4 linked regions of the Schizosaccharomyces pombe genome follow. The main gene of each other region encodes a partner of the protein of the gene in region 2 in a complex. Each region holds a gene or a part of one and is shown on either strand. Other genes may lie near its edges.

What was found.
Region 1: epl1 (region 2) and alp5 share a complex: the UniProt entries of both Schizosaccharomyces pombe proteins name them as parts of the nuA4 histone acetyltransferase complex.
Region 3: epl1 (region 2) and eaf7 share a complex: the UniProt entries of both Schizosaccharomyces pombe proteins name them as parts of the nuA4 histone acetyltransferase complex.
Region 4: epl1 (region 2) and vid21 share a complex: the UniProt entries of both Schizosaccharomyces pombe proteins name them as parts of the nuA4 histone acetyltransferase complex.

Annotation. Positions count from the first base shown.
Region 1 is NC_003423.3:2,010,957-2,015,505, reverse strand, and holds alp5 (Ino80, NuA4 and Swr1 complex actin-like protein Arp4), read right to left. Parts: upstream 2,508-4,549; 5' UTR 2,445-2,507; coding exon 1,143-2,444; 3' UTR 501-1,142; downstream 1-500. Other genes in the region: GINS complex subunit Psf1, read right to left, coding at 1-6; DNA-directed RNA polymerase I complex subunit Rpa2, read right to left, coding at 3,863-4,549. UniProt on the Schizosaccharomyces pombe protein: Chromatin interaction component of the NuA4 histone acetyltransferase complex which is involved in transcriptional activation of selected genes principally by acetylation of nucleosomal histone H4 and H2A. The NuA4 complex is also involved in DNA repair.
Region 2 is NC_003421.2:2,187,570-2,192,775, reverse strand, and holds epl1 (NuA4 histone acetyltransferase core complex-Piccolo HAT module linker protein Epl1), read left to right. Parts: upstream 1-1,900; 5' UTR 1,901-2,046; coding exon 2,047-2,214; exon of another isoform or gene 2,215-2,421; intron 2,422-2,735; coding exon 2,736-4,241; 3' UTR 4,242-4,693; downstream 4,694-5,206. Other genes in the region: cnb1 (calcineurin regulatory subunit B), read right to left, coding at 1-28, 91-327, 521-572. UniProt on the Schizosaccharomyces pombe protein: Component of the NuA4 histone acetyltransferase complex which is involved in transcriptional activation of selected genes principally by acetylation of nucleosomal histone H4 and H2A. The NuA4 complex is also involved in DNA repair.
Region 3 is NC_003423.3:4,259,270-4,263,352, forward strand, and holds eaf7 (NuA4 histone acetyltransferase complex subunit Eaf7), read right to left. Parts: upstream 2,193-4,083; 5' UTR 2,051-2,192; coding exon 1,894-2,050; exon of another isoform or gene 1,804-1,893; coding exon 1,670-1,803; exon of another isoform or gene 1,608-1,669; coding exon 1,080-1,607; 3' UTR 543-1,079; downstream 1-542. Other genes in the region: RNA-binding protein Cip1, read right to left, coding at 3,204-4,083. UniProt on the Schizosaccharomyces pombe protein: Component of the NuA4 histone acetyltransferase complex which is involved in transcriptional activation of selected genes principally by acetylation of nucleosomal histone H4 and H2A. The NuA4 complex is also involved in DNA repair.
Region 4 is NC_003421.2:978,963-985,425, reverse strand, and holds vid21 (NuA4 histone acetyltransferase complex scaffold subunit Vid21/Eaf1), read right to left. Parts: upstream 4,456-6,463; 5' UTR 4,307-4,455; coding exon 4,298-4,306; intron 4,281-4,297; exon of another isoform or gene 4,216-4,280; coding exon 3,935-4,215; exon of another isoform or gene 3,878-3,934; coding exon 1,183-3,877; 3' UTR 961-1,182; coding exon of another isoform or gene 786-960; 3' UTR 716-785; downstream 1-715. Other genes in the region: sws2 (mitochondrial 37S ribosomal protein uS13m), read left to right, coding at 435-715, 786-960; yapsin Yps1, read left to right, coding at 5,248-6,463. UniProt on the Schizosaccharomyces pombe protein: Component of the NuA4 histone acetyltransferase complex which is involved in transcriptional activation of selected genes principally by acetylation of nucleosomal histone H4 and H2A. The NuA4 complex is also involved in DNA repair.

The sequences.
Region 1 (4,549 bases), on a different chromosome or scaffold from region 2:
CTCCATAGTGATTAGAAGCACTAACTATCACGATATGCTTAAACAGATTTTCCTAATTATGTTTAGTTTAAAAGAAACGGATTAGTATAATTAACAACGACACTCGATAGTTGTTTAAAGCTATATTGAATGGTTGTGGATGACAAGTCGTTGGAAAATGACATGTCTTTCATAAGACCATAATGATGCATTCCTTAGTAGAAATTTTACTGTAAATAAAACATGGATCTTTTATAACAAAATTATTAGTTGAACCTACTATGCGAATTTTTAAGAATTTATTATTTAAACATTCACACAGATTTAAAATGAAGCGTATACTTACTTGGATTACCTCAGTTTCATAAAGTAATGTATACTAATTCAAAGGATTGAATGAGCCCTAAAGGTATCATTAAACCGAGTTCCTCACATCGTCACACATGGAATGAAGAGATGATTTAACGAAGCTTCAAATTATCAACTTACAAATCATTGCTACTAAAATTATAGAAACCAGATAAAGTTTCATTTCAAAATAAAAGAAAGGATATCATTCAATGATTACAATTCTCACGTAATATTCAGAACACAGTACGATGTGCTTGCTTCATCGGACAGGGCTTTAAGGGAATAAAACAATCACATTGATGAGAAATTAGAATCTAAAGGGGTACAATTTAAAACCTATCACTCATATCCAAAAAATGGCAAGGCATATTTAGCTTCAAATAATTGAGCTTTAATGTAGCTTAAAATGATTTTGTCAGTAAGACTTTCTTTTCTGCTTACAACATAAAATCCAATCGATGTATTGGCCGTACTCAAAAAAATCCGCTTTATGTATAATCTGCGGAAGATTACACAAATTCAATAGCATGAATATCACAAAGAGCCAACGAACCAGTCCAGAGTAACAATCTGTTACAAAAACAAAACTTTTGATGCTTATTGATGATAGCAAAATACATGATCCAATATTTTCTCTTCAAATGATAGGTATAAGGACAGGGAAAGAGTCTCATACGTAAAGTAATAATATCTCAATTATTTTTTATTTCAAACGAAAGTTTCCCCTTTTTTTCCACTTAAGGAAAATTCCCTAAAATCCAACGACTTTTAATTAAAGGTTCATTAGAGATTAGTAATTATCATTACACGTATTATTTACATCGTTTTTCGATTAAAGCCAAACGATCAGAACCATGTTCTTCATATTCTTGACGTGATATCCATAATTGATGAAACGTTCCAAGACTACTTAAAATAGATCCACCTAACCATGAAGCATAACTGCGTTCAACAACATGACCGGAAGCATGGATTTTAAGACGGCTGCCAGGATATAATTTTGAAAGTTCATTTTGCAGACGAAGAGAGAATCCTTGCATCAAACTAGTGCCTCCACAAACAATAACATTGTTGAGCAAAGAAGCACGGATATCAACATCGCATTCCGAAATACAGTTCTGGAACAACTGAGGTATCCCCAAAATGCGAGAAGAAGTGTTGGTAACCGAAGAATCTTGTTGTGATACCTCATTATTTTCGGTTTGTTCTATTGGCTTCGAAGGTTCCTCGTTCATTTCTTCATCACTTCCTGGCACAAACAAATGTTCAGGAATTTGATAGCGTTCCGCGCCAAACATCATACGGGAACCGTCTGGAAATTCGAACTCTGATTCAGCAATCGTGGTTTCAGATGAAAATGGAACATCGGAAATGAGAGCACATTCTTCTTTCCATTCATCGTAGACTCGCTGGACCTGAAATTGATGATAAGAATCTGTAGTATCACGAGGACGTAACTCACAATTAGCTGGCTGCCCTATCTCCACTGGATTTTTGCTTTTCACTAAGTACTTAGGCATCACTTCGAAATTCTTATCCCTGAGAGTTTGCGCCAAAATATCGTTAATTGCATTCCCAGAAAAATGTTGAACCTGATAGCCTTTTTGAAGCACAAAACCATCATATATAGCAGACACCGAGCTACGCTCCGCACCAATGTCTACTAAACAAGCAGTACCTTTCCCGCTTGCAAACGCCGCACACGTCTCCTGCTTGGCGAGGTATGTTGCAGGACAACGCAAAGATTCAAACATCGTTTCTAGTGTTTTCACTCGATTTTCTGGGGGATTATCAAATGGTTCCGTAATCAAGATTGGATGCTCTAAAGGATTAGTCTTCAACTGCTGCTCTAATCCATAACGCCAGAGATCTACAGTAACATCCCAATTTTCAACCCAACCATTACGAATTGCATTTTTTATTTCCATTCCAGGGTTTGATTTATATATGTATTCCTCACCGAACAACCGTCTGCCATCACTGAACTCTCCACAGTAGCTAGGGAGTACGCATTTGGGAATATCTTCTCCAGAAAAACCTATTCGAGTCCATTTGCTTCCAGGATCAATTACAATAGCTGAAACTTCATCTCCGCCATAAAATGCGCTAGTCATCTTACCAGCAGTACAGTTTGTCTACGTGATAAGATTCTCAGGCAAAAGTTGTCGTTGGCACTTGGACAAGACGCATCGTTGAGATCATGAAATAGGTCGCCAACGGCTTTTCTTAAAAATACCCATCACTCTTTCCTATTTTATTTAGTTGGTTTAATTAATTAAAAATAAGACTTTCATTTAGAAAAGTGTGCATTCTTTAAGCATTCATGCAACGAGAATGTCGCTAATTTTCAAGCTTTTAATAGACGCGTCAAGTAAACTAGGTTTTCAAAAATAAGCATTCATATGAAAGATTGGGCTCATAGCACAAAAAAAAACAATTGTACAAGAAATCCACAATAGTTGAAAAGATAATTATTATGCTCCTAATAAACAAATTCATTTAGTGATTTTTTGAGTTTTTTGCTATAGTCAGCTACGCAGTTTGGTATATATTTAACGATACATAGAATTACGGTGAGTTTCTCTTACGACTTACAATATAGCGGTATGCAGTATGTTAACTAACAATGTATATTTATTGTTATATGAAGTCTATTAATATCGGTTGCCGAAATAGCGTTACAGCCGAACCTCGTTCCTCAGTTCAGTTATGAGCTATATTAGTGATAGGTAACATTATAACCCAGTTAATACAATACCTATACTCAGTTGCTACTCATACAACCTGTGTATTGTAATATAATAGATCACAAGGAAAACTCACCGCAGTTCTACGTATCCTTAAATCAGATACCAAACTGCGTAGCTTACACACTATACTAAATATCGGTTATCTAATATAGTATAATGAAGCACAAAATACAATTTAGCGTGGGTTTCTGTAATTCGTCATTATGCTGCTCTTAAATGTGAACCATGCGAATAGGTATTTTTTATAATTGAGTGCATAGATTTTCTGTAGTTGAGCTGTTCTTAAAATTATAAGATATCAATTCTCTTTTCTCCATACGAATGTGTGCTCACGAATTTGCATCAGATCTCAACCTCTGATTAATCTGCTTCTTTGAACATTCGATCACTCTTTGGTATCAAGTATCTATTAACCAATATATAATACAATTTAAAGCAAAAAGACATCTAATAATAAACTTTTTCTTGTCAATTATGTCTTAGCCGCTTCTTAATCAAAAAGATAAAAATCAATCAATTTATTATTAGTCCACCTAGACCTACCTTTATAGTTTTCTATATAAGTTTTTTTATTAACTCTTCCCCCAAAACAATAAGTAATTTTATATGCAAAACGTAATCCGAAGCAAAAATCAGAAACCTGTTGCGAAAGAAAACAGAATCAAATGGAACTGAAAATACACACATCACCCATGGCATTTTGTCAGTCCTTTTAAAAAAATTTTTTTTAAAGAAGTTGAAAGCGAATATATTAATTTCAATACTCTTTTCAACACTTTAATCTATTTAACTTCAAGCATCATTTTAATATTCATAGCAGTAAGTTCCGCCGTCAAGTAATTGAAAACACTGGGTAATGCGATCAACGTAGTATTTGTGCCGCCGACAAATTTCTTTCCGCTACCATCCTGCCAAATGTCACTGGTATCTTCCAATCCCAAAGCGGGTTTGGCACAGCTTCTGCACCTGACTTCTGAGGCACTTCCTACGCCATTCATCGAAATTGTAGACATGATAGAAATAATAGACCCACAATCTCGACAAACCCAGCTCTGGGCATAATCAGAACAATTCATTAAACGATCCTGCATCAAGAACGATGTGCCATGACCGATAACAGCATCACGTTCCATTTCACCGAAACGAATACCACCAGCACGTTTGCGACCTTTGACGGGTTGACGAGTAAGATTATGAATGGGTCCGGTTGTACGTACTTGAAATTTATCACTAACCATATGGCGAAGACGTTGATAGTAGACAACTCCAATATAAATATCAGCCTTCATCTCCTGTCCTGTGATACCACTATACATAGGCTCGTTTCCATGATAGTTGTAACCAGCCTTAACCAATTGTTCGCCAAAGTAGTCAGCAGCAGTTTGCTGCTCAGAATAGATAAAGGGTGTGCTGTCTTGAGCCAAGCCATGGCAGGCGCCAGCTTTACCAGCTAAACTTTCAATAAACAT
Region 2 (5,206 bases):
CGGTCAATATCATAAATCTTGAAGGCAACTAGATAAAACAATAATGTTAGAACATAATTTGCAAAGGAACGACAAGTTGATTGAGCTTACACTTCAGCTTTTCCTCTTTATTGCCATGCACTGAAAATACAGAAAGGCTATTAATAAATTCTTGAAAGTCCACATCTCCTCCACCGTCTTCGTCTACAACTGAAAACAGTCTGGAAGCAAGTGGGTTAGAAGCTACACTGGGAATCGACAAAAATTCGTTTCGGTCAATAGAGCCAGATTGGTTAGCATCTATTTTAATAAAACGCTTGCGAATTCTTTCTATCTCCTCATTGGAAACTAGATACAATGAACGTTAGCCGAGTCGCTTTGAGGTGCTAATACTTTTGCATTGTGCATGTGAAACCGGCAACTTTGATGAATTGGCTATAATCTTAAAAAGAAATAGACGACAAGAGATGTAAGTATTCTAACATGAAAAAATATAATGATAAGAACACTTTTGGCCACACGTACTAAGCATCAAACTTACAGGATGAATTTGAGATCAAGTCCTCAAAGATTTGCGACTGCGACTGACCCATGAGAGGGAAACACAATAATATGAAATGAGTAAGGTTCAATTAACAAACCAAGAATATAACGGTCAGCTACCTTTCAAAGAAAATTCCTTATATCGGTGGTGGTAGTTTGAGTCAAAATCCTTCTGAATGTAAGGGTCGAATGTCACTTGGCACACTTTGTCTTCCACCAATCTCAAAGATAATCGTGGAATCCGTAAATTTCAAAAAATGACTTGAAAACATGTTGGGTTGTGCAAAAAAATAGCTATGAAAATTATCTGTAAGCTTGTAATTGAAAATTCAACTGCAATGGCAGCTTTTCATTTTTAGAAAGGATGCATCAAACGAAAATCCGGCTTAAAAACGACAAAGAATTGAGGTTTAGAGCAATTCATAATTGCTTTGGAGATGGCTGTTTCTGCATCTTGGATTTTTAAAGGCGAGGTTTTGTAATTTTTCAAAACTAAATACCTTTAACCTTTATTCTTTCTGATGACCAAATTTTTTTTAAACTGCTTTAGCAGTTTTATGCTGATTAAGCTTTACCATATGAGCTTAAGATTATGAAGGAAGCAAAATCTGAGAATGAGCAATTTTTCGACATGTTTGGTAAGTATTTGAAAGGACTTTCGAATATTTGAAAGATTGCAATTCATGTTTTTAAATCAAATTTTAATCTTCCTGAAAAGGGCTTGGTTTCTGGAAAAAGCAAATGTGGAACGTTGAAAATGTTTGTCTACAACTTGCTTCGTTTTGAAAAAGACATTCATTTTTCTCACCCTATACTATGCGCAGTTGGCATAGATAATTGATGAGATACGGAAAACATCTTCGTTAGTGGAAAAAAATGTAGAATTTATTCCGCTGTTTACTTCTATGTTCCACCTGGCTCTGCTGCGAACAGTTTATTATTCTAACAGAAATGCCTATTCATGGTCTATAACACGCATTGAAAGTAAAAATCAAGTGCTTTTTTCTGCTACTAGAGACTACGAATACTAGCAGATCATGACTTTTCTTTTGAATTAGTAATGCTTTTTTTCTATTGAGTATTGACGAGGGTTTTCCGACGTCAATAAGATGAACTATGATAGAACTTGATTCCTTATAATTCACTATGGAGTTTTATGGACTTCACTTCAACTGATGGTTGACAATTTCCTCTTTTGTTTCTCCTGCCATCGGTTTCTTCCATTGTTTACACCTGGAATCTCCAGTAAATATCGCTACAATACGTTGTATATTAACGGTACGAGCGTATTAGAAAATTATTTTTGGTTACGTTGCTCCTCGGTAAATTATCGCAGTGAAGAGGTTTATGAAAAATTTCATTCGGTTTGTTAACCCCTAGTGGTTTGACACACCAACGACGACGGCCGTCAACTACGCCAGGATTTAGCGCCTGTTTCTACAAGATTTTGAGTGAGACGAGTATCTTATAATTTTACGGTTGGATAGATTTAAGTGATTGGAGTCCAACGATACCAATATTATCATGAGTTCCGTCTCCAAAAATGCTAGGGCATATCGTCAACGGAAGGTCGGTATTAAAACCGTTATGCCGATTTATTTCGAACGTGATATACCTGACTTTGATGAAGAAGCTTCACTTCAGCGGACAGTTCCCTTGGTGGAATCTGGTGTTGAAAAAGAAGAGGAAGAGGTAAGTGCGAACCCGAGAATGTGAAAGATAATGAAAAGTACGAAAAACCTTGGCTTCTTGATGGATTTCGTTGACAAAAATAAACACTCTTTTTAAAGGTGCTTAATCACCGTTTTACAATGTATACGAAGGGTTATGCGGAAAATTATGATTTGAGCGGAGTTGCATCGAATTTCTGAATTTTTTAAACTTGCTAGTTTGTTTGTGTTAAAGTTACTCTTGTAAAGATTAGTAAACTGAGAATTAAAAGTTACTTGAAAAATATTGATGCTCCTTCTTTCACGAATTTTGAGGTTTTTTTTTTTTTTTCAACGGATTCATTGAACCTTTTTAGTTTTTATTCTAAATTTGATTTTACTGAGAAAAGATTGCTACTTCATTATTGTGGCTAATGAATGTTTTGGGTTATGTTTCTAGCAATGCTTATTTATTTGATTATTTATTGTTTTTGGAATACAGCTGTCCTTTTTCTTATCGCTTTTCATTCATCTTCGATTACTTAGATTTCTAACAATTTATAGGAAAAACATTTGCAACAAGTCATCAATGAAGCCCATGAGGCCATTGTGCGTGGATCTGAAAAAAAGCTTATTATCCCTACACGGGAGGCTAAAAATATAGGTATAATTGACAAATATTACAAAAAGAATTTCATTCTTCCTAAGACATTAATTCGGTTTTCTCTCACTGTGGAAGAATGTACAAACCCAGAATATTGCATGGATGAACATGATACGGAATATTTTCTGAAGTTGAAACAGGCTCAACCTTCTCTTTCCAAATTTTCTGAATTAGATTTTGAAATTGTCATGCAGACGTTTGAAGAGGAAATTAATCAAAATCAGCCTTTTTTGAGCATGGATACCTCTCAAATATTGCCTTTGTCTGAGCTCATCACCTCCTTCGAGTTAAAAGATGTACTGTACTTGAAACCACTAGCTAGTCAAGTATACCCTTATTGGCGTGAGCGTCGTATCAGTAAGGGTGGTCTTCCAATTATGGCTAAAGCACAAGTTGGCGATGATAAGGATGATGATGATCCATATGTTTGTTTTCGTCGTCGTGAAATTCGACAGGCTCGCAAAACTCGTCGGTCGGACGCTCAGTCTTATGATCGCTTACGGAGGTTACGACAAAGCATGGAGACAAGTCTTCAGTTACTGGAACAAGTGTACAAACGTGAGCAAAAGAAGCTGCAAGCGCTTGAAGACGACTATGCTATTTTCCAGAAGCGCTGTCTTGTCAAAAAGCTTAAACGTACTCTAAATATAAAAGACAGTGATGAACTTTTAATCAATCCTAAACGACGTCCTATTGAGGTAAAGCCCGCCGCCCCTGTACCTACTCCAGCTCCACCTGTAAAAACTTCTCCTCACCCTGCTTCCTATCGCCCACAACCTACGCGAAATGTCGAAGTTCGACCGTTATTAATGCTTGATGATGTTCAATCAGCCCAAATTACACAATTTCAGATTCGTCTTCAGCAACGTCTTACCAAGAAGGAACAGCTCGATCGTAATTGGGTTGACCTTTTGGAGACGCCTAGTACCGTTATTCATACTAATTATCCCGATTCGTTTTACCGAAACATTATTCCATATTATTCAGGAAAAGAAACGAAACAATCCCATAATCAACTGAGTATTCCTTCCTCAACCCCTTCGACTCCATTATCTGATAATGGACCCACCTACTCTACACCTCACTCTTCCCTATCTAATTTTAATACGTGCGATTCACTTTCATTCTCTTCAAATAACTCTTTATACGGCTATAGCACTTTATTACATCCCAGAAATCCCATCTGCGTTCGACAACGAATAGGACGTGGAGGGCGTTTGATGTTGGATCGCACTCGTGCATTGCCAGTACATCGGTTGAGTAAACCAAAATCTCGTGTTGAAGATCGATGGCTTTTTGACATTCCCTTTGATGCCGATGACACAATTATACTCGATGATGAATCTGATGCTTCTATAATGTTTCGAGCTAGCTTGCTAAACGATGATATGGGTACTCAGTCATAAAACGCTTTTTATCTATGGTATTTATAATATTTCCATTACTAAAGATTTCGATCAAATTTTATTTTAACTATTTCTCCTCGACTAGCTTATTTAAGATTTTGATTGATTTCTTGAAGGGATTTGGGGTATAATCTATTTTTCTCTTTAGAAAAATAGTGTTTATTCATTTTTATGATTTTTGTTTGTCCAAATAAAAAATTTAATAGGGGGAATTGACTTGAAAGCATAGTCAGCTTTTTTTTTGGCTCACAAGATTTGATTTTGCTTCTACAGTCCAACCCTGGTTTTATGCATGCATAGATTCTTTATCGTCGCTAATTTATTTGATACTGTACTAGTTGAATCGGTGAATTGTTACAAAATTTTTGGTGATCCCGCTTTTTTAGACTTGCATGTGGTTAATGACTTTTTTAATGACATTCAATTCATTGTTCAGCTTTTTTAATTTAGCATATAATAAATATACGATGTACGAAGTTTATGTCTTAACGACTTATCGAATTCGTATTCAAATTGAATACATTTTTAGCTTTTTAAGTAGTTTTGGAAAAATTTCAGACTAAGTCATTGCGTTGGGTTGTTGATTATATATTTATTGGTTTCTTTCCTTTTTGTTCTATAACCATTTACTTTAGTTCTCTGAGCTTATTTTTTAGAAAATCATCCACTAACTATATGTCTCTCTCATTGCTACAAGATACAATAGCAAATATGAAGAAGAGTCATATCGAATTTATAATGCTCACTCTTAGTTTCCATAGTATGTGTTAATAAGGCGTACTTCTAGCAATTATGATTGCAGTAGGAGATTTAGAAATTATCGACTTAATTGAATATCAATAACCTTTATCTTTTTATTGTTGTTACTTTCAATTATAAAAAACTTGAAACAACTTTTTTAACTGAACTGACAAATTTTAGGTTCATCATAACGACTTTGGGGATTCAATTAAAGTCATTAAGTA
Region 3 (4,083 bases), on a different chromosome or scaffold from region 2:
AAAACGGCGAATATCAATTCTGAATAGAGAGACACTAGGATTATCTTTGTTAGTGTACTTCCATTGTTTATTAAACGGTTTCAAGTTTAATTGCTAAAATTGTTTTTATGTTGTTGAATACTAAATATTAATGAGATTTTTGCCTCACAGTATGAAAATTATGTACGATATTAACCTTTCAAGTAAGGGAATCTACGAAACTCTATGAAGTAGATCCCGCTGCATGTTTATGTACCTGAATGCAAGCGCGTTTGTGTATTTTTGATGTCTTTTAAAGGTTTCGCAATGACGGGTTGCTCAGTTTTGCTTTGCTATTAGAGAGCTGTACTTATAGATCTATTGTGTTTTAAAAGTTGTTAAATTCGGCAGACTCTGCTAGGCAATGGTCTGATGTGCCGATAAATAATACATTAACTCATGTGAATACTCAAGTCCGTTTCACCGGAATTGAAAAATTCATTGATCAAATCGTTACCTGTGTAAGGTTTTGAAAACAATTTGCTCATCAATTTGAAAGTAATATGTATACTACCTATTGGAATCTCTCTGTCTATGCGTGTTAAACATACTTTAAAACATATTTCCAACCAAATCGACATTAACATATGGACCTATCGAATTAAAATTGAAAACTCACAGTTAGAAGATTTTTTTTAGCAAGTCAAGCTATCAAACAGTATATATAGCTACATAAAACATCGTAACGAACAGTAAAGAAGTGACGGGATTCAAAAATCGTAGCGGTAAATCAGAGTAAATTTGTTTGTAACAAAGCCGTTCGTCTTTTCCCATTACGTGAATCGAGCATCAAAAAGGAGTAAAACTGCAAAAGCAAATTAGTTTTGGACATGCCGTCGATCCCATTAAACCTATAATTCTGCTAAAACAAATCTCCTTGACATACAAAATATTAGTTGTAGTAAAATCATAATTCTTTTTATTTTTCACTTTTTATAAATCCCTTGTGATAATTAATTTTGGTCTCATATATAAATAACCGTTCATTAGAGTAGACCAAGCATAAATGATATGTACAAATAATCAGTCTTTCCCATCCTAGGTTTTTCTGTTAACAAGAGCTAGGTCGGAGGCCTCCGGCTTCGAGAGCTACGGCGAATAGCTTGGTTTGAAGCTGCCGGTGAAGAAGCAGGCTCTATGGGCTCAGTAGCCATACGCTTTGGAGAACGGGCTGTATTTTGAGAAGATGGCGAGACGGATCTTTTTCGCAAAGTCATGGAACTCTCTTTCTTTTCAGACTTTTCTTTTTTTTCGGGAATAACAGGCTGAATCTTTGGACTTTGCGGCTGTTCAGTAACAGGAGAAATACTTCTAGAAGAGGATCGTAAATTCCGAGAAATTTTCTCTTCTTTAGATTCAAGCTTGACTTTACTTTCCTTCTTCTCTTTCTGTAAATTCGTCTCCTGCTTAACTTCGGGTTCACCGGGTTTAGTTTCTACCGTTTCAATCTCCACTTTTTGAGATGTTTCCAATGGTTTCTCGGATTTTTCTTTTACTTTAAGAATATCTTTTGGTAATTTAAAATCTTTAACATCTGGCGACTTTATTCGTTTTTCTTTCGCCTTAACTTCTTCATTTCCTGGAGCTTCCTAATTTAAAAAACTGTCAACAAATACTTGAAAACAAAAAATTAAAAGGCTTTTTGACATACCAATTCTTCAAACTCTTTCAAATTATAAAGTGTTCCTAATTTATTCCAAACGTCCTGAGCCTTAATTGTTGATCTTTTGCAGCCATCACGAATTTCTCGTAAAATCCCTATCATATAAAAATTTTTTTCTATTCCTATTTTTTAATTAGTGAATGAATGCAATAATTTGATAACATGCAGCTTTTAAAATAAGAGACCGAGCAATTAACCTTTCGAACACTTACCTACAGGGCGCAATCCACGACAAATAGCTTTTAACAGTAAGGTTTCCTCTAAAACAGACCATTCAGTAACAGAATCATTCATATTTGATTCTTTATTTACATCCTCCTGCCTTTTCTGCTCGGCAGCAGTTGATGATCTTGTTCCCCTCGAACTCATAAATACAATTGCTATCCTCTAATACATAGGTTTATATGGGTAAAATAAGAAAATTTCTGTTTCTTAGTTTACTTTTTCTACTAATTTAACTTTATATTATCGGCAATATAGCAGATTATCAATATTTATGGTGTTGTGCGGTACTTCCAGCCATAACTCATGAAACTGGTTTTTATAATATTTTCTTTTTCTAGCTGCAGTAATTACAAGGTCAAGTGTATTTCATCTTTTTTCATAACCTTAACAAAAAATAAAAGTTCATCCAAAAAGAATCGTGCATCTTTGTGTTATCCTTTCTTCATTCTTAAATTCAATAGACATTCAAGTGCAGTAATTGAGTAAGGCTGCGATAACCCATAAAGTATTCTTATTTTAGTGAATCCTTTGTAACTTCCTTTAATTACAACTTACTAACAATGGAACTAAAAGTCCACCATGCTTGCAATTTCTTTTTCTTTTTTACATATAAATCAATTCGCATTATATAGGAAAATTTAACGATATTTTAGGTAATTTTAAAGTAGCTCATTTAAAGCCCTACAAGCTTGGTAGAAAATAGACTTTAAATCGTAGGTTTATTTCTATATCCATAGTACGGTAATACTAAGCTAGGAACATTCACATCCACATAAAGAAGATGATTAAATTTACAAAAATAAAAGTTCAATTTTGTAATATCAGACTAATGTATTTGTCCAAGGTTAAATTTAATCATGTAAAGTATGTGTATATTATACGGTAGGGCATAAATTTCTTATACAAGAAAAATCGTTATAATTTGTAAAAAAATAGGAGCATCGCTCATCCGTTGATTATCGTCATAAAACATTATGCCTCACCCAACATATATCCATCATTGATTGCTGTTAAGTCGAGTCGTCCAAATGTGTCGTGGGAATTCAAAACGATAAAATATAAGCTTCTAAGTATTTAAAAGGATTATTTGCTGGATAACCAACTATGTGAAAGGGAAAACAAAAAATCAACAAAATGAAGCCCATAGAGTTTAGATTCATCAGAAGTAAGTGATAAAGGGATAAAGAGCAAAATTTAGTCAAAACAAATAGCGTATAGTAAATGCATCTATAGTTGGCGTAAACAAAAATCATATCTTAAAAGGTACATAAACAGTTTCTTTATAATTGCATAGACTCTAAAAGTGGGAGACACCAAAACTCTGCTTGGAAGCGGAGGTAGAAGCATCATTATCATTTTTTGAATTGAAAGGTGAACTCAAAGTAGAAGCCTTTTGAAGCGGTGATTCATTTCCATAAATTTTGTCGTCAATCGAACGAAGTTGGTTTGTCAATGGTACTGCGAAACTGGGAGGTGGGGTTATAGGGGCACTCTTAGTACCATTCAATGAATGCTCTTGCAAAAATCGAGTAGCTAACGGTGCCGGCATATTAAATCTTAAATTTGGAGATGCAGGTTGCGACTGACTTACGCTCGTATTCTTTTTATTCGGATGAGTAACTACTAATTTTAACACCTCTCCATTCGGGCGAGCATAGTAATCGAGATCAAAGTACAGGCAAAAGATTCTAATGGCATTTAGAAGGTTTCCGTCCTTAGAAGTGGTTTCAAATGTTATTTCACGAGAAGGAATGCATTGATGAGCAAACAATAGAAGTCTACTATAAGTTTCAAGGGTACCAGTGTCATTCAAATTTAAGCCTTGATCAGTAAAGCTAACTTCAAACATCTTGTACTGCTGTTTACGACGTCTTTCTTCAGCTTGACGTTTCTTTGCTTTTTCCACCTTCTCGCGTTCTGCAGCTGGTAATTGGCGTTTCCATTCAACACGAAGACGTCTGCCATTAATTTCATAGCCATTAAGCGTTTGCACAACAACTTGAGCCTCTTCAGGACGATAAAAATTAGCAAAAGCCAATCCTCGAAATATTCCATTGTCATAGTGATAATTAAAGGCATAAGGTCTGGGAATACCTAGTTGCTTAAAATGATCCAACAATGTATCTTTCTCCAACGAGAAAGGAATATTTTTCACAACAATAGCCGTTGGAATGGTA
Region 4 (6,463 bases), 1.2 Mb from region 2:
ATTTTAAACTGAGACCATTGAACGAAGGGATCATTTGAGTTCATAAATTTTAAAATTTGAACAGAAAAGGAAGGCCTTTGACGATATCTCTTCTTTATTTGTTTTTCTTCGTCTTACCTTGCCCTATTTATGGTCTTCTTAAACATCAAATTACACCTTAGATAGTAGCTCTTTAATGATTACTCAAATTGTCTTTTATTACTAGGCCCGGAGTCTGTACAATCTAACTAGTTTTCTAAAAATATGAGAGATCCAACTGTGTATTATATCTAAACACCACCACTCCACTCTTTTACAAGAAAGCCTAATACTTATATTCAGAACGGTTTTAAGCTCTCTGATTACTGATAGAGAACTGAATTACAAAACCAAATTGTCCACTTCATTATTGAGCTGGTTTCTGTCTCATCTGTTGATATCTGAGATTTTGCATCATGGTATACATACTTGGAGTGGCTGTAAACGACGATAAACCTGTGCGGTTTGCTCTACTTTCTTTTTATGGAATTGGACATGCCAAGGCTGAAGAAATATGCGCAAAATTATCATTTCACAATACGTTAAGGGTTCGAGAGCTGACAAATGTTCAATTGACAACGTTGTCGCAACTGCTATCAGGAATGACTATTGAAGGTGACTTACGGCGTCAACGGAATGCTGATATCTCAAGATTGGTGAATATCCGATGCTATCGGGGAATGAGACATGTAAACGGGTATGAAAAGATCATTTGTGAACGTAGCTGTCTTCGACAACTTTTTCAACTTAACTAATGAATATTTCAGGTTACCCGTTAATGGACAGAACACTCGGACGAATGCAAAGACTGCTAAGAAGCTAAACAAAGTCCCACGACGAGGTTATATGACACTGTCGCCCGCTTCTACAAGGCCCATCACATGGAGTTTTTGTCTACCGAGAATGGTGTCTGTCTTTCAAAAATTAAAACATATTCATTAGCTAAAATAACGTTTATGAAATCAAACTTCACTTATCATGTACACTTCGTATTACCTCGATTTGCTTGATTCTGTTAAAAAACCAACAACCGGGATACGAAAATGAAAACGTATTCTATTTTTATTGTGTGAGAGAAAAAGCTCTCGCCTCGTAATTTCCTTCTAATATACAACAGCACTCAAAAAAAATACAATAAATCGAAAAATTGCATTGAGGCGATACTTACTGTGTCCTTTCAGTAGTAGGTACAGTTTGCTTCCTTTGCTGCAACTGATGAATTTGTTCAGGTGTTAGTTTTAAAGAACTGGAAACAGCGTATGGCTGAAGCCTGGGGACCATTCTACCAGCTATAGGCGAGACACCCGCTGATGAATTGTTACTACTATTTTGTGAAGCAGCTACAGCTTGAAAGGCTGCTAGTTGCTGGTTGTGTTGTTGTGCACCAGCAGCAACAGCGGCGTTTTGCGGCCGTAGAGCCCTGTTTTGTGATTGCAATTGTGCAAAGTTTCTCTGAGCCTGTATTTGCTGTATTTGTGCCTCACGCTCAGATTTCAAACGAGAAAGTTCGAGAGGGGAAGGAACCGGCGGCAATTTTTCAGTTGAAGCTGCAGATGGTGCAATCGCTCTCTTGGTCATAGTGGGTTTTTTAGCAAACTCTCTCTTTTTAAGGATCTTTCGTATAGCTTCAAATATAGTAATGGGTCGGTAATGTCTTGATACAGTTGGCAATAAGAAGTAAGAATTATGTTTAATCAAATGGTTAGGTGTTCCTTCATCCCGTAAGGATAGATGTTGGCTAACTTTATCCGAATGTCTTAAGGATTCATCTAATTTCTGCTGAGCGAGTCTTGCATGGGAGCCAGTCAATTGGACATTGGCGGCTCTGGGATCCACTTGAATCCATCTTTCAAAACAATCCCACGCAGTCCGCTTCTCGGCAAGCGGTATGTACAAACCTGGTGGTGTTAACCTACTGGCAACAAATTCCCAATTAAAGGAATATCGTCGCAAGAGTAATAAAAGGAGTTCATCTTCTTCGGGCAACCAAGGGGCTTCTGGACGAATATCTTTACTAGAAGGCGGATACGGAGGCCGCACACTAAAGGTTCCTACTGAGGATAGCTTCTGATTATCATCCTTAATTTTATTTCCATCTAGCTGGTTCTCATCGCTTCTCGCCTTCTTTTCCATAAACGACTCAGGTGGTGATAATTCCAATTGGTTGAACAAACGTTTCCTAGAAGCCTTTGCACAGGTGGATTTAAGCTTTGTTTTGGCATATGCAAAACGTGACACAGGAGTGATCGGGTACTTTTCAGATATTTCTTCACAATATTCATTGTTTTCAGTAGGAGGACCGTACATAGGAACGTTTAAAACGCAGTTCTGAATTTGTTCGGAGTTTGTTGTCACAAATATATCATCCGAAAAAACAGCATTATAAAACTGTAAAGAATCCCTGGGAATAGAGAGCACTTTGTTGTTATTATTATCATTTAGATTAAAATGGCTCACTATTTGTTCATTAAACGTTTCCTCGTGAGAGTCTTTCTGATGTTCATTCTCTTGCATGTACGGCTTCTTATTCTTTGACAACGAAGCCGGAGTACAAACAGTACATTTATCACTAGCTTGATGGTAATCCATTACCCAATTCGCCATTCTATGAGCCAATATAATTTTCCATTTACGCTCTTGAGAAAAATCAATTGACATCCATTGCATCTCATCCAAAACATAATCCCGATGAGTTTTCAATCGTGGCATCTCGTTTTGTCTTTTGGGCTGTCTAAAGGACCAAATACCTTTTTCTTTTGCAACCGTTAAATGATGTAGTGATTGTCGTACAATTTCCTCGCGATACGCATGAGACCAGTTATCTGATAGAACATATTTATGTGCATTTTTCAACCTTAAATGTAAAGGCGACATTTCTGTTCGAAGCAGCCATGCTTCTGAGGAAAGCTCTGGTTTCACCGGTTCAGAAAATTTTGAAGGAGGAATTAAAGTTAGTGGCATAGATACAGAAAGTTCAAAAAGCGGAGCTTCAACCCCAGTTCTGTCAATTGTAGGGGATTTTTCCGATGGTAACTTATTTTCCATTTGTAATTTACTAGGCTCAACAATTTCATCTACTGGCTTCTCGTTGACATCAACCGCTACTTCCTGAACAGGAGATTCAGTGGCCTTGTCAACGGAAATGATTTGTTGTTCCGAAGGAATCTCTTGATTATTTAATAATTGTATAGTTTTTTCAATATCAATACCTGATTGTACATTCTCAACATCATTTTCAGTGACCTTGGCTTCAGGAGAATGAACTTCTTCAACTTCATCAACCTTTGGGACTTTATCTTCAATTTCCAAAACTTCTGCAACAGTGACAGGGGGAGCCGTAGGTTCCGTTGTCTCTGATACCTCTTTCTTTTTCACTTCTTTAGACTCAACTTGATCAGTCGCAACCTCTACCGGTTTGGTAACGGTCACATTTTCTTCATTCCCATCTTCCTCATGTTCCTTTTCGGTAGCTTCAACCACTCTTAATTGCTTATCGACTCCTTCTTCTTGAGAGGATTTGTTTGCAAGTTCTTCGGTAAGCTGTCGAGCAGCATACTCGCTATCTGGCGTCAAAGGGCCTTTTTCCTCTTCAGCATGAGCAGTGGTTTCCACTTCTTTTACGGGTGTTGTTGGTTCAATAGTTTCTTTCTCTTCTACGTCAATATTTTTATGTATAGTTTCAGGTGAAGGTATGGGAGATTTTGACGTTATAATTTCCTCCTCGCTAAGTTCTAGGGAAGTTTCTTTTAAAGGTGTCTCCTCTGAAACTCCTTCCAAATTATCGGGTTCTTCGGGAACTATCGGTTCTTCAACGATAGGAGTTACAGATTCTCTAGCTGAAAGATTAAAATTTCGCCCCCTTGCATGTTAGTTGTACATTTGAGGAAAATACAAAAAGTTACTCAATGAGACATACCTTTTAAAACGATACTTTTGATAAAAGTTAAACCACTCAGAAACTTGCTCTGGTAAAAGATCACTTGATGAATGAAGCCATTCTAATCCATTAGGAAACTTGCAATGCAACCAAAATAAAAGAAGTAACTTTTCATGTTTCTCTTTTGTTAACTTAATCTCTTCATTGTCTACAGAGTCGTTTTCTTCTTCTTCGTCTAGAGTAAAAAGGGAGGCAAAAGAATCTGTTATCGATAATTTTTCACCATCGACTAAAGCAATTTGACTGGTTTTGGTCTCCTTCTTTTTAATTAAAAATATTAATTAGTTATCGAAGTACAATAAAATTATCACTTTAAGGCCCGTAAGACTCGTAAAAACGTACCTGTTTCATAATCCCAATTTAAGCGGAATTACGCTGGAAAAAGCATACAAATCGTATTCTAGAAAAGACACAGTTTTGCTTTTATATTTATTGTATGATGATATAAAGAACTCAAGGATCCTGTATACTTTCAGACCTAATGTGAACGAAGTTAGTCTGATGGTGTTGAGGCCCCCCAAGGGATTTGAGCCCGCAATCAACCACCATATTAGGTGAAGTAGAAAAACAAGGAAATAGCACTCTACTAGGACACAGTTTTGAACTACAAGTACAGCAATAAGACTGTCTTTTATTTTCGTCTTTTTGTTGCTCGGAGAAATCGCTTGTTCTATTTAAAAGTTGAGACGTTACCATAAAGGTTATCGGCATATTTCAAAGCTTTAAAAACGTTTCCCTTTCAACTTAAATTATTCAAAAATACATTCAGTTGAGCTACATGCCAAACCTACTATCATATCATTCTAAAAAAACTATCGTTAAGTGATCTATTTCTCCCTTATTTTCAATTTGTATTTATTATTTTACGACGTGCTAGGAATTGTGAAAGACTCTTATTTATGATCAAGTTTTTCTAGATTTTTGCGTTGCATTTGGTTTTTACATGCATCTATTGCTCATCCCTTGAGGATTATTTCCACTTTCTGTTGTGGATTTTCTTTTCTTTATAAAGCAAGATTGCCAAATTGTTGCTCCCAACATAACAAGGGATAATAACAATTCATCGTTGCTTTCGTTAAAACATTCTTTCATCAAAAGAACTCGGCACCTGCTCTTTATTCTACTTTGCATTTTTGTTTTAGTTCCGTTTTGCATATTCTTATTTCTTCTTCTCATATTACTTTATTCTTATTCTTTATTTCTCTTTTTATCTGATAATCACCTTGGTCATTTTAATTTACCTCTATGTAAACATTCTTGCATCTATATTTTCTTCTAATTATTTAAGGATTATGAGGATTTGGATTTTAATATTTTTCTCCTTCATTAAACTTGTCTCTTCGTTACAATATACGGGAAATGGTGTTTTAGCTTTGGACTTCGTTGCGAAAACTTTTCCCAACCAGGAAAATCAATTAGAGAAGCGTGACTATACTTATTCTCCATCTGGTATCACTTCATTTCCTTTAGATTTGCAGAGTTACACTTACTACACTACTACCCTTTCGATCGGTCGTCCGAGTATTTCGTACACTGTAGCTATAGATTTGGACATGCCGTACACATGGTTGACTTACTACAATGTAATGGCGTTTAATCCAGCGTATCTTGGCATAGTGAATAGTGGTACTCAGTGGAGTACGGATGAACTGCGATACTTTCTTTGTAAAAAAGAAAGTGATTCTTGTTATTTTGGGAATGCATCTTCTAGCTTCCATTTTGTTACGAGTCCAAGCACTTTTTTTATCCGCTATGACGATAACATTACAGTTGCTGGAATTAATGTTCAGGACTCCCTTTCTTACAGTCATTATCAAGCTTTACCGGACTTCCAATTCGGCATCACATTAAAGGAGTATGTTCCCAGTTCAATGCTGCCGTACAAAGGCGTGCTAGGTTTAGCTGCCAGTACCGAAATTAATTCAATAGATTATTCGGATTCCATTTCAAGTTTTTCACCACCAACCTTTTTGGAACAACTAGTTAAAGAGGATATATTGGCATACCCTGCTTTTAGTATGTATCTGGATAATCAGGGTAATGGAAGTTTACTTTTGGGAGCCGTGGATACGTCAAAGTACCAGGGACAGTTTGTCGCTTTGAAGCAGACTAAGCTTACGCATTACGCCGTTTCCATTTACTCTGTGCAGTTCTTAAACTCTACGTTCTTTTCTAATTATTCTATCATCACTGATGCATACTTTCAAACTCGTGAAACTTATATTTATTTGCCTGCCGAATTGGCTTACAGTGTGATGGATAATGCTGGTGCCTACTTATCCGAAGGCTATTTCGCATTAAACTGTGATGAAATTGATTTGGAAGCCGCTCTGATATTTCAATTTGGATGTAATTCAACTATCAAGGTACCGATATCGTTGCTAGTGATTGGGCAAGTTTCAAACATATGTCTTTTAGGTATTCGACCTTCGACGGATAGTGAGATTGTATTAGGTTTGTTATTTTTTCGAAACGCCTACACATTTTATCATCAAAGTCAAAAAATGA